Linked DNA regions of Callithrix jacchus. The protein of the gene in region 3 interacts with the protein of the main gene of each other region in a pairwise test. Links are inferred from orthologs where the notes say so. Each region holds a gene or a part of one and is shown on either strand. Other genes may lie near its edges.

Region 1 (4,177 bases), on a different chromosome or scaffold from region 3:
GGCCCTCACCAGCTGAGGAGACTAAGCTCTTAGCACCCCCACCCCATGTCCCCCTCTGCCATCCTCAGGCCCTAGGGCCAGGCTAGGCTGGGCCTGAGAGGAGGGGAGACGGCGTGAGCACAGGACTACCTTCCTGGGCTGGGATGGGCAGCCACACAGGGCCCGATGCGTAGAAAGTCCCTATGCTCCATCCAATGCTCTACTGTTGCTGTCTTTAAATTCTTCATACTTTTGGAACAAAGGCCCCACATTCTTACTTTGCACTGGGTCCCAGAAATTATATGGCTGGGAGGGGAAAGGGATCAGTGTCCTGACCCAGGGTGCAGGCCAGGCCGGGCCAGCCTAGGCAGCTCCACCTGCAGGGGCCCATCTGCTGCCTGCCTCAGGGACCCTGAGGGGTGCGTGGTAATGGGGTTAAGGCAGCTCAGACCAACTTGAATTTTAGGATTGATTTCTGCAACCTTGCTATCTGCTTGGCTTGTGTCAAACCACATCTACTGAATCTGTTTCCTCTGCTGTGAAAGGGGTGAATACCACCCAGCACAGGGGCTACTCGGGACAGTGCTTATCCATGTTTCTTGACACAAGGCCATTCCTCAATAACAAGAATGACTGTGATGATGATGATGATAATGATTAATCGGTTACTAAAAAGTGGGGAAGGGGCCAGGTGCGGTAGCTCATGCCTGTAATCCCAGCACTTTGGGAGCCTGAGGTGGGCAGATCACCTGAAGGTCGGGAGTTCGAGACCAGCCTGACCAACATGGAGAAATCCCGACTCTACTAAAAATACAAAATTAGCTGGGTATGGTGGCACATGCCTATAAGCCCAGCTACTTGGGAGGCTGAGGCAGGAGAATTGCTTAAACCCAGGGGGCAGAGGTTGTAGTGAGCGGAGATCGCGCCACTGCACTCCAGCCTGGGCAACAAGAGTGAGATTCTGTCTCAAAAAAATAAAAAAATAAATAAGTGAGGAAGGGCCTTATACAGGGTGTTACATAATAAATGCTGGTTTCCACTCCTTCTTCTCTCCCCTCACCTGGGACCTGGTAAATTTCCGGTCCTCACCCCTCGACTCGACTCTGGCCCTCTCTTGGAAAACAAGAACAGGTCCGGCACCCAGGCACAGATGCAGGCTGGGAAGAACACATGTGTCAGAGGCTTGGGTGGCCTTTACTACTCTAGTGAAAGTTAATAGGTTACCTTTGTATGGGCCCCCCTTTCGCAATCCGGAGCTGGGCATCTGGTTACAGATTTACTTCGAACAATGCCTGATATGTGGAGTAAAGTCCTCCTCCTTGGCCTTCGTAAAGTCATCCCCTCTTCTCCTCAGGAACAACTCAAACCTGTGCCCCAGAGATGAGGGCCCAGGAGGACCCCAAGGGCCGGACACAGGTGCTGGGGACTGGGGGTGGGGTGGTGGGGGTGGGAGGGCCTGTGCAGGTGCAGGCCTTTTCCCCGGAGGCCAGAGATAAATGTTCTGATGAACTCAATAGACTGACTGGCCCAAACTGAATGTGGCAACTGGGGGATGGGTGGAGGTGGGGATAAAGGAGGCGTCAGCTTTGGGACTGGCTGACTCAGGTTGGGGTTCAGGAGGGGCCCAACCTCCCCTCCAGTGACATCCTAAGGATCTCTAGGGGAAAGAAGTGGGACCAGGTTGGGCTTGTCCACAGTCTCGAGCCCTCTCAGCCCCCTCTCCTGTGGTCCCCAAGACTTCTGACTTAGGGGTCCATTTCCCTGGCTAGAATGCCAGGTCCTGAGGGCTCTGGAAGCCGGCACAGTAGACTCATCCCTGCAGGAAGTAATGTGAAGGGGGAGACAACTGTGGCCAGACCGACTGGCAGCCGGGTGGATAGACTGCTGGGGAGGGCAGGGACCCTACTCTCAGTTGCTGAATGGCCACTTGGGCTACCTGATGGATTCCAGGGCAGAATGGATTTTTGCCTGTCCCCATTACTCCACCCTAAGCTACTTCTCTCTGCTGCCCCCAGCATGAATCCACCAGGGACCCCCCGATGCCCCTACCCACAGAGCCCAAGTTTGACATGTTGTATAAGATCGAGGACGTGCCACCTTGGTACCTGTGCATCCTGCTGGGCTTCCAGGTGGGTCCCCAGGGCCTCCCTGCCCTCACCCTGTGCACTTCCCAGGGCCTCCAGCCCCTCCCTGGCCAGCAGGGAGTATCTTGGGTAACAGGAAGAGAAAACAGGTCAGCACAGTGGCTGTCAGCAGGCAGGGCTGGGGAAGAGGTCAGGTTCTGAGAGAAGATGAACTCCCTGGGGGCGTGTGACGCTTTCGAGGTGGAGCGTTGGTGACGGAGAGCAGAGCCCACTCCACAGAAGCCACAGGAGTAACTTGAGCAGAGATTAGTAATTCCAGAGTGGTGAGCACTAGCTCTCTGGGAATCTCTTGTGGGACTGCCAGTACTGGGCGGGCAGTGCAGGTCCAGGCTTGCTGATGCAGATGTGAGGACACTAGGTTGTCCCCTCTCCCTGGAGCTCTGGGGTCCTGCCTTATGCATTCTGCTCCCTCCCTCTGTCCAGCACTACCTGACATGCTTCAGTGGCACCATCGCCGTGCCCTTCCTGCTGGCCGAGGCGCTGTGTGTGGGCCATGACCAACACATGGTCAGTCAGCTCATCGGCACCATCTTCACATGCGTGGGCATCACCACTCTCATCCAGACCACCCTGGGCATCCGGTGAGCTGCCCAGCCCCCCCCCCCACTGTGATCCACACAGCAGGAGCAGGTGGTCTCCCAGAGGATGCCGGTGAGACAAAAAAAGCCACTATCTACATCCAGCTGCTTCTCCTATCCCAGGCCAGCCTTAGAGAGAGGCCTTGACCCTGGGCACCTTGATCTAGGTGCACTTCGGAGACCAGGCATCTGCAGATTTAAGGGAATGTGCCCTCATTGGCTCTCCCTTTTTTTTTTTTTTTGAGTCAGAGCTTAACTCTTGTTGCCTAGGCTGGAGTGCAATGGTGCAATCTCGGCTCACTGCAACCTCAGCCTTGTGGGTTCAAGTGATTCTCCTGCCTCAGCCTCCCGAGTGGCTGGGATTATAGGCATGCACCATGACTCCCAGCTAATTTTGTATTTTTAGTAGAGACAGGGTTTCTCCATGTTTGTCAGGCTGATCTCGAACTCCTGACCTCAGGTGATCCGCCCGTCTTGGCCTCCCAAAGTGCTGGGATTACAGGTGTGAGCCACTGCACCCAGCCGGCTCTCCTCTCTTAAGGCCTATTCTGAATACTGCCCAAATGGCAGCACTGAGCTGGCTCCCAAGGCCAGTGCTGGCCTCTTCAGTAGCCCACCCTCCTGGGGCCCCACGCCCCAAGAGCAAAGCCCTAGGCCTGGTGGCATTTGAGCTGTTTGGGCAGTGGGAGGCAGGGGAAGATGTGTGAGGAGCTTGGATTCGAGAACTGAGCTGGCCACTTCCAGCCATCTGCTCTCTCCTCACAGTGCAGGAGCTGGCAGGAGGAAGGAAAAGGGGCACGTTTTGAGCTGGGGGTTCCATTTGTTTTCTTCCTTGAACCACCAAAATGTTAGAGATGGTCTTCCCTGGGGCCTCAATGACTTCCATGTGCCCTTGTCCCTCGTGTCTCTGTCCCTCTTTCTGTGCCCTCCTTTCCCGATGTCCCTACAACTATATCCCTCCTCCCCACCCTGCCCCACCCCACTCCTACCTCCCCTGTTGCTCTTGCCTCTCCTCCAGGCTGCCTCTGTTCCAGGCCAGTGCCTTTGCATTTCTGGTTCCAGCCAAAGCCATATTGGCTCTGGAGAGATGGAAATGCCCTCCGGAAGGTGGGTACACTTCTGGGGTCTGCACAGGGGAAAAGGGGAGGTCTAGAGACCTGGAGGTCTGAGCCTGTCCTGGGTGCAGACACCGGGTGCAGCCAAGGCAGCATCTTCTCTCCCTATCTGTCTCTGTACCTGGTTCATGTATGTCCTGACTCAACCCCCAGAGGAGATCTACGGTAACTGGAGTCTGCCCCTGAATACCTCTCATATCTGGCACCCACGGATACGGGAGGTGGGTTTGCATGTAAGAGTGGAAGAGGCTGGGTCCTGAGGAGGGGCTATATGGGAGTGAGGGTGGCCGCTGGAGTTTGGGGATTTGAGGAGGTGGTCCAGAAGCTTTGATCCTGCTAGCTGCCAAGTTATGGTGACTTA
Region 2 (4,233 bases), about 60 Mb from region 3:
GCATAAACTTCCTTAATACTGAAATTTTTGCAAGGTCAGTGTATTCTGATTAAAAATGTACAGATTGTACGAACTTTGTTAATAGTATATCTCCTGCCACTTAAATTTTTAATTCTTGTAACTGAAACAAAGCCCTCTAAAAACCCTCTCCCCACTGGGTTTTCAAAAACAGCTTCAAGTGTTGCATTTCCAAATAAGAATAGCTCATAAGAATATCATCAGGACTCTGATAAAACAACTATTTTAGACTATTTTGTCATTTTTCTGTTTCTAAGCTTTTCTTCTAAGTTACATGGTAACATTCAGAAGAGGAAAAAATATATCAGGTACAATACTTGGCAGCTGGACATGTGTCAATTGTTGCCTGTAAACCTAATTACTGAAAATTAGAGCACACCACGGCTTGACCGTAGAGACAAAGACACTGCAGCTGAGCTCTGATTAGAAAATTCAACTTTTTATTCCTCCCGACTCCTGAATTAGTGGATGGTATTACATTAACTGTGAAATGTACATCCTGTCCCGGTGCCCAGGGCACCCCTTCCAAACAAGGAAAGGTCGTTTGTCAAAACTTGAAGCATTTGAAGGAAAAACATCCTCACCAGTAGTTAAGAAAATCAACGATAAAGTCAATTATTGAGGGCAAAATACGTGAAACCACTAATAGCAGTGTATTTACTACAAATAATAATCATAATAATGTGTTTACAAAGCTGTCTTTAAAAACAAAGCAAAGCAAACAAACCTCGGCCCTACTATGACTACTTTAAAATCCCCACCGTCACAAAAACATTCCAAAAACTAAGACCAAACCTCGACCCTACTTGATATCAAGAATGTTATTGGATTTCAGGAGTTTGTTCAAAGTACGTCATTTTGAGAAGTTGGATCCACTTAAGATATAAAATATGGCAACCAACTAGGTTTAAAAACAGTGAAATTTTGAACCCTTGAAAGCATAAAAGCTATAATTCTAGAAACCCGGCTCACGTAGGCAACATTATTGACCTGTTTTCCCCACCTCTCTGAATACCAACCTGCAGCGCAGTCCTTCCAAATCCATTTTGCGCATTGACGTTTACATTATTTTGCAACAAACTAGTAAGTTGCTGTAGGTCCCCCCTGGCAGCTGCGGACGCCAACTCGTTCCCCCAAGGCTCGGCCATTCTTTAGGGTCCTGACGATCGGGAAAAGATGAATTAGTCGTTTTTCTTTTTCCCCTTTCCTTTGCTCCTAACCAGGCTGCATGATGGCATCGGAGACTGACAGAAGGACTGGGATGGTTAATCTGGAGTAGAGCTTGGTAGTAAATACTAGTAAGATCTGCCTGCCAAAAGCCCGCCCCTAGATTCACACGTGATTATTCAGCAAAACTGAGCCATTGGAGAGGGGCTCCTCGCCTCGCTTTTTAGCTTAACCCCTATGAAGAATTCTGAGGACTCCACGGAGAGACACACAGACACACAAACATTCCTGGTTAATGACTCCGGACGTCAGATGTAGGCAGAGCTGTCACGTACCTACGCTACAGATCTCCGTGAGGAGTGTGTGTGGAGACTTAAGGGACTAGATCGGGGCAGAAAATACCGCGGAAGGCAAGACATTCGGGGGGAAGAAAAGACATTCACCCACCCTTGTTCACGGTGGTGACTTGAGCCGTGTGCGGCAGAACTGCAGGGGCAGGTCCTCCAGGGGGCTCGGTTTCCATCCGTCTCGCCGAAGGGGTAATCCTGGGTCCTCCGCTGCTGGGAGAGCGCCGCGGTGGCTGGATGCTGACGTGCTCCGGGGGGTTAAAAGATGATCGCCAAAGGCGAACGGGAGTAGCAGTTCCTTGGCCCTCAAGTTACAGGTCGTAACTACTGCCCAGTGCTCTGGACTTCTCCAGAAAAGCCTTTAGTCGCGTCTGGGCCAAGCAGTGAGCTAATGCCGCTCAGGAAAGCTCTGGAGCTCGCCAGCCAGGCAGCCGCAGCCCCGCCGAGCCTCAGAGGCCGTGGGAGCCGGGCTCGGCGCGCGTCTCCGGAGGCTGCCGGGCGTGCGGCGGGTCCCGGAGAAGCCCGTCATGCCGGCCCCGCCAGGTCCCGGGACTCCCGGCAGCCTAAGGGAGGAGGAGAGCGATGCGGGAAGCGTCTAAGGGGCCCGGGCTGTTGGGGCAGCTCGCGGCAGCATTGCGGCTGCACTGGGCAGCCCCCCGGGAACTTCCTGCCTACGACCGAGCTCGTTCAGGCTTTCTGCTGCAGGCACTCATTGAGCTGCCGCCGTCGCCGTCCTATCCCGGTTTTGTGGGGTCTCCGGAGTTGGGGAGAGTCCGGGAAAGCGTAGGCCAAGTTCTGAATAGAGGTAGTCGCCACAGTTCCAGGGCGCAGCCAGTCCCGCCGCCGTCTCGGCGAGAGCTCAGCAGCTTCAGCGCCCGGTGCCACTTCGCCAACCTCTCGCGGTCCCTGGCCTGTGCCCCTTTGCTGCGGACAGGGCAGCCGCCAGCCAGCTGTGCCCTGGAGACGAGCCTGGCAGCACTGCTTACTCCCTGGACGCACCGCTCCCAGTGACAGTTTCTTTTGTAGCTGATCCCCTCCTAGATCGCCGGTCCCTGCTCTCTTCACCCCTACAGGCACTCGCGCGTCGCCCCTTTTTTTGCTTTTTTCCTTCCCTCCCTCTCTTGCTGCTTTTTTCGCTGAAACAATTGCTGCTTCTGCTGCCTCTCAGAGACGGTGCCGGTTTCTTCTCCCTTTTTTCCGACCTCATCAGCTTTTTTTGAAAAGAAAAAAATTGAGCGCTTTTTGAGTTGAAAAACCCGCCCCCATTTTAACGGCAGAGTTTTAAGGAGGCTCGGCGGAGTTGCAGCTCCGCGGGAGCGGGAAGGCCGGGCACCGCCCACGCCCCGCCCTCCGCCCCGCTGGCGCTCGCGCTAGCCGCCTCGCAAGCTCCGCCCGCCCGGCCCAGCGCCTTCACTCCCGCCTCGCGTTCCCCGCCTCCTCCCGTCTAGTCTCTCGCGCCGGCTCCCGCCCGCGGGCTAGGCGGCCTGGCCCCAGCTGGAGCGGGGTTCGGCACCGCGAAGCCCGGCCTGCCTTTCTTCTGCTAGCGGGTTGGGTCTGCGACGCGAACCCCCCAGCTGCCTCGATTCCTATGGGGGCGAGGGCGGGGGGTTGTTATTTAAGACGGTCTAGAAGGGCCGCAGAGCCTTTGAGGCTCGCGGAGCTGGTTGCGGGAAGGCGGAGAGCTAGCTGGCAAAAAGGGAGTCGTTCTCCAGCTCTAGCGGGGCAGGTCGGCCCGCCTCAGAGCTCCCCCGCCAGGCTAGCAAAGTTCGTGCGGCCAGGCCTGCCTTCTGCTGCCGCTGCCTCCTCTAGGGCGCTCGCGCTCTGTAAACTCGGCTGCTTTGGCTGAGCTCTGGGCCTCGGCCGGCCTCGCACCTGCTAGATCCACGCAGACGGCTGCGGTGGGCAGAGGTGGCCCCGGGGGTGGAGGGAAAAATCCGGGCTGCCACTAAGCGCAGTGCTCACAAAAAGCAAGTCTTGTATAGACTGAATTTTATGAAAACTTAAGTAGGTAAGAATAACGAACTCTGAAGCCTTAATCAAGGACTAGAAACTGAAATAGTCCAATTATTGGAGAAAAAGGAGAAAAGCAATCAAATTTAAAGCAAAATTTAAAATAAGTCGTGTGAAGTGTTTTCTAACAAAGTCATTTCTTTGTTGCCTAAGTTCTCTCACTACTTAGAAGCGGCTTGGTTTTTCGGGGGTCTCGGGTTAGGGAGGGTGTCTAGATGTAAAGGAATGGTCTCTCTCCTAATCCTTTACTTAATCATCCAACACCAATTTTTATTACTTTTAACTTCCTCTTTTAGTTGTGCGAGATAGGTTAACTATTGCTTTCTATATTTTTATACTCTTAATCCAACAGGGTTGCATGATGCACCCAGTGGTCAAAATGAAACCAAGCAAAAAATGACAAGTCTAATTAGAACCGGCCTTTGGCAAGCGGATGCGCAAGCAATATCTGTACCCTTCTCCCTGAAGTACACAGAGTATTAGCAACAAGACACACCAGAAACATCTGGATAATTATGTAGCAGCAGACTGGCTGATAGAGGGAGAGTTGAAGCTGGGAAAAATCTGGCAGTGTTTTCTTTAACGTAATTGTTGAGAAAAAAACTAGTTATCTTCTTCTTCTTTTTTTTTTTTTTTCTTTGAGACGGAGTTTCGCTCTTGTTACCCAGGCTGGAGTGCAATGGCGCGATCT
Region 3 (3,637 bases):
GCCGTTTCTTTCTTTCTCTATTCCTTGAGCACAAGCTAGTGTAAAATCCCTTGTAGACTATCTTATCACTTTGTCTTTACCCTTGGTTCTTAAAGTGAGGTCCTCTGACTAACAGCATCAGCAACACCTGGTAACATGCTGGAAATACTGATTATTAGGCGCCACTCCATACCTACCAAATGGGAAACTGGCCATGGGGTCTAGTAATACATATTTTAACAAACCTCCCATGTGATTGTGATAGATGCTTGAATTTGAGAACCAGTGATCTATAGAAATAGCTTTCCTTATCTGCCCTAAATTAATTCTTCCGTTTTCGCCAGGTCTGCTTCCAATCCAGACGGGACCAGGTACCTCTTTTATCCGGAATTACTATAGTTGGTACAGGTTTAGAATCAGTGGTCTCTTATCACAGGCACTAATAGCACAGTATTAGGGTGGGTGAAAGAGCTGTAACACAGAAGCATCCACAACAGTTTCATTCATGCCACCTAGAGGAGCAGAACTGAGAGGCTCGTGAAAGGTAGCTCCCTTAACTTAAATGAAAGTCCTTTGGGACTGCGCTGCAGAGTTGGGGCCACTGAGGTTTTTCTATCCTTGTTTTTTTTTCTTTCCTGGCTCTAGCTGCATCCTACACAGATAGCTCTGATGATGAGGTTTCTCCCCGAGAGAAGCAGCAAACCAACTCCAAGGGTAGCAGCAATTTCTGTGTGAAGAACATCAAGCAGGCAGAATTTGGACGCCGGGAGATTGAGATTGCAGAGCAAGGTAAAGAAAGGGAGTGGGTTAGGGGGCCAGAAGCAACCCTCTTGTTGGCCGTCAGATCCACAAACAACTTAAGACTTGAAAGCTGACTTGAAAATATCCTAGGAAGAAAGACTATATTATGGACTTTAGGATAAACACTTCTCTCTCTATGGAACTTGAGACTCAGGACTCTTGTTCTCTCTTTCTCCTGTTCTCAGCATGTGGTGATTACACACAGAGAGTTTCTGTTTTCCTCCCCGCTCCCACTACCACCACCGTCTTCAAAGATCTACATGCCAGAGCTGGCAAGTCCTAGATCACTACGTGGTAGTTTGTTATATGGGATATTACTATAGCTGCCAATGGCAGAGACCCAGATTTCCCAGAAGCAGCTGATTAGGAAGGGTTTTAAGCTAAGGATGTGGTGACCTAGAGTCTTGTTTGGTCCTGAGCACCCTCTGCTGACAAAGAGTAGAAATGACTGACAGTTAAATCTTGGTTTCTCTAGTCCAGCCACTCCCAGTAAGGTCTTCTTTAGTCTTGTGTTGTTTACACATTGGAGGCATGTTCTATACTGAGAGGCAGTAGAGAAACCAAACAGACTGACAGGATACCGTAAGACAACATAGAAAAACAGAAGTCAGTGGGTTCCGCCGAGGGTAGTCTTCCTGGTCTGATGATTCTACATAGGAATCTGTTAGCCAATGCCTTAACTACTTCTCTCTCTTCCCAACTGAATGATGAGACTCACCCTTCATTTTGATCAGTTTTGAGGATTTACTTCATTCTCTCTTCAGCCCTCTGCATATAAAGCTGAAGCAGTAGAGGAAGAGAGAAACTCCAAGTGGTTGCATGACAGCTCTCCACTGTTACTCTGCTGTTGAAGCTGCCAGTTGTCATGAAAATAGGCTCAAAGTTTTTCTGCCTCATTTCACCATATCTCAACAGATCCAGACCAGCTCTGGGGCAGAAATTGATGATACTGCTAGTGCAGACCTAGCTCAAATCCTCTGTTCTTTCACAGACATGTCTGCTCTGATTTCACTCAGGAAACGTGCTCAGGGGGAGAAGCCCTTGGCTGGTGCTAAAATAGTGGGCTGTACACATATCACGGCCCAGACAGCGGTGAGTTTTTTGGAAGAAAAGAGGGACTTCTGACAAGGGGAAGAAAGAAATGGATTTTTTGTTTGTTTCGCTTTTCGTAACTTGCCAACCTCCAAATGCGAGTTCGGAGGATCTTATTAGTAGGATCTCCCTAGTAACACAATAACGGGGTTTTCTGTTTTTGTTTGTATAAGCAAACCCACTTTTAGCAAACTTGACCTAGGAAGGTCTAGATTTGCAAACATATGATTGTTTTAAGATGTTATTAAGACTAGAAATCTATGTTCTCTGTCAAGTTCAGTACCAGGGCACCACCTTGCTGGATTACACCCTTCTGTAACTTCCCAGTGTAGTGCCTGTTGGTGCAGAGCTGATAGGTATTGTTACCTTGCTGACGTTTGCTCTCTATGTCTGGGTAGCCCTTCTCTTCCTCACCCTGTCTTCCTACACCTCTACACAGGTGTTGATTGAGACACTCTGTGCCCTGGGGGCCCAGTGCCGCTGGTCTGCTTGTAACATCTACTCAACTCAGAATGAAGTCGCTGCAGCACTGGCTGAGGCTGGTAAGTTCAGATGTTTTCACTAACTTTGCCCCAAAATAATTATCCAAACATATAAGTTTTATGTATCGAAATTGTCATTACAGTATCATATATGTCTGGAGGCTGCAAAATTGGGAATGATAAAAACCTCAACAGGAAAAAAGTGGATACTAAAATTAAGACGTTTATCCATGATGGAATTTTATATAGTCATTAAAAATGACCTTTGATGCTGGGCACGATGGCTCATGCCTGTAATCCTAGCACTTTGGGAGGCTGAGGTGGGTGGATCATGAGGTCAAGAGATCAAGAACACCCTGGCTAACATGGTGAAACCCTGTCTCTACTAAAAATATATTTAGAAAAAAATTAACTGGGCATGGTGCTAGGTGCCTATAGGTCCCAGCTACTTGGGAGGCTGAAGCAAGAGAATAGCTTGAAACCAAGAAGCAGAGGTTGTAGTGAGCCAAGATTACGCCACTGCACTCCACCCTGGTAACAGAGCGAAATTCCATCTCAAAAAAAAAAGACCTTTGAAAGGAATCTAATGGCATGGGGAAATGCACAGTTCTAATGTTAGTTGAACAAGGAAGAATGTTAAACTATGTAAGTGCTATCAGTTTTGTGAGAGAGCACAAATAAGAAGTACCTGTTATGTTGGTAGTGCATTAAATAGTTTGGTATTCAGTATGGCATTAAAATATATGGCTTTCATGAGTTTAGTTAAACATAAAGTAATTTTTATTATTCATCCAGGCACGGTGGCCCACGCCTATAATCCCAGCACTTTGGGAGACCAAAGCGGGCAGATCACTTGAGGCCAGGAGTTCAAGACCAGCCTGGCCAACATGGCGAAACCCAGTCTCTACTAAAAATACAAAAATTAGCTGAGTGTGGTGGTGTGCACCCATAATCCCAGCTACTTGGGAGGCTGAGGCAGGAGAATCGCTTGAATCCGGGAGGCAGAGGTTGCAATGAGCTGCACTGATCTGAGATCGTGCCACTGCAATGCAGCCTGGGCAACAGAGTGAAACTCCATCTCAAAAATAATAATAATAATAATAATTTTTATTATTCAAATATTCAGAAGAAAATCACTGTGAAGTTTCTTTGAGGACCTCTCATCTTTCTCTTTTTGTTTTTTCTTGAGACAGAGTCTCACTCTGTTGCCCAGGCTGGAGTGTAGTGGCACAATCTCAACTCACTACAACCTCTGCCTCCCAGGTTCAAGTGATTCTTGTGCC

The links.
Region 1: the proteins of AHCYL1 (region 3) and SLC23A1 interact in binary tests that used the Homo sapiens proteins (3 or more experiments, as listed by UniProt). The two-hybrid records come from large-scale screens. The link is inferred for Callithrix jacchus from reciprocal best matches to the Homo sapiens genes AHCYL1 and SLC23A1.
Region 2: the proteins of AHCYL1 (region 3) and CDKN2C interact in binary tests that used the Homo sapiens proteins (3 or more experiments, as listed by UniProt). The two-hybrid records come from large-scale screens. The link is inferred for Callithrix jacchus from reciprocal best matches to the Homo sapiens genes AHCYL1 and CDKN2C.

The regions. Positions count from the first base shown.
Region 1 is NC_133503.1:37,764,042-37,768,218, reverse strand, and holds the start of SLC23A1 (solute carrier family 23 member 1), read left to right. Parts: upstream 1-1,307; 5' UTR 1,308-1,359; coding exon 1,360-1,395; intron 1,396-1,994; coding exon 1,995-2,108; intron 2,109-2,546; coding exon 2,547-2,704; intron 2,705-3,719; coding exon 3,720-3,808; intron 3,809-3,969; coding exon 3,970-4,037; intron 4,038-4,177.
Region 2 is NC_133508.1:87,839,298-87,843,530, reverse strand, and holds the start of CDKN2C (cyclin-dependent kinase 4 inhibitor C), read right to left. Parts: upstream 2,878-4,233; 5' UTR 1,633-2,877; intron 1,178-1,632; 5' UTR 1,167-1,177; coding exon 1,038-1,166; intron 1-1,037. UniProt on the Homo sapiens protein: Interacts strongly with CDK6, weakly with CDK4. Inhibits cell growth and proliferation with a correlated dependence on endogenous retinoblastoma protein RB.
Region 3 is NC_133508.1:147,860,519-147,864,155, forward strand, and holds part of AHCYL1 (S-adenosylhomocysteine hydrolase-like protein 1), read left to right. Parts: intron 1-624; coding exon 625-768; intron 769-1,771; coding exon 1,772-1,872; intron 1,873-2,311; coding exon 2,312-2,414; intron 2,415-3,637. UniProt on the Homo sapiens protein: Multifaceted cellular regulator which coordinates several essential cellular functions including regulation of epithelial HCO3(-) and fluid secretion, mRNA processing and DNA replication.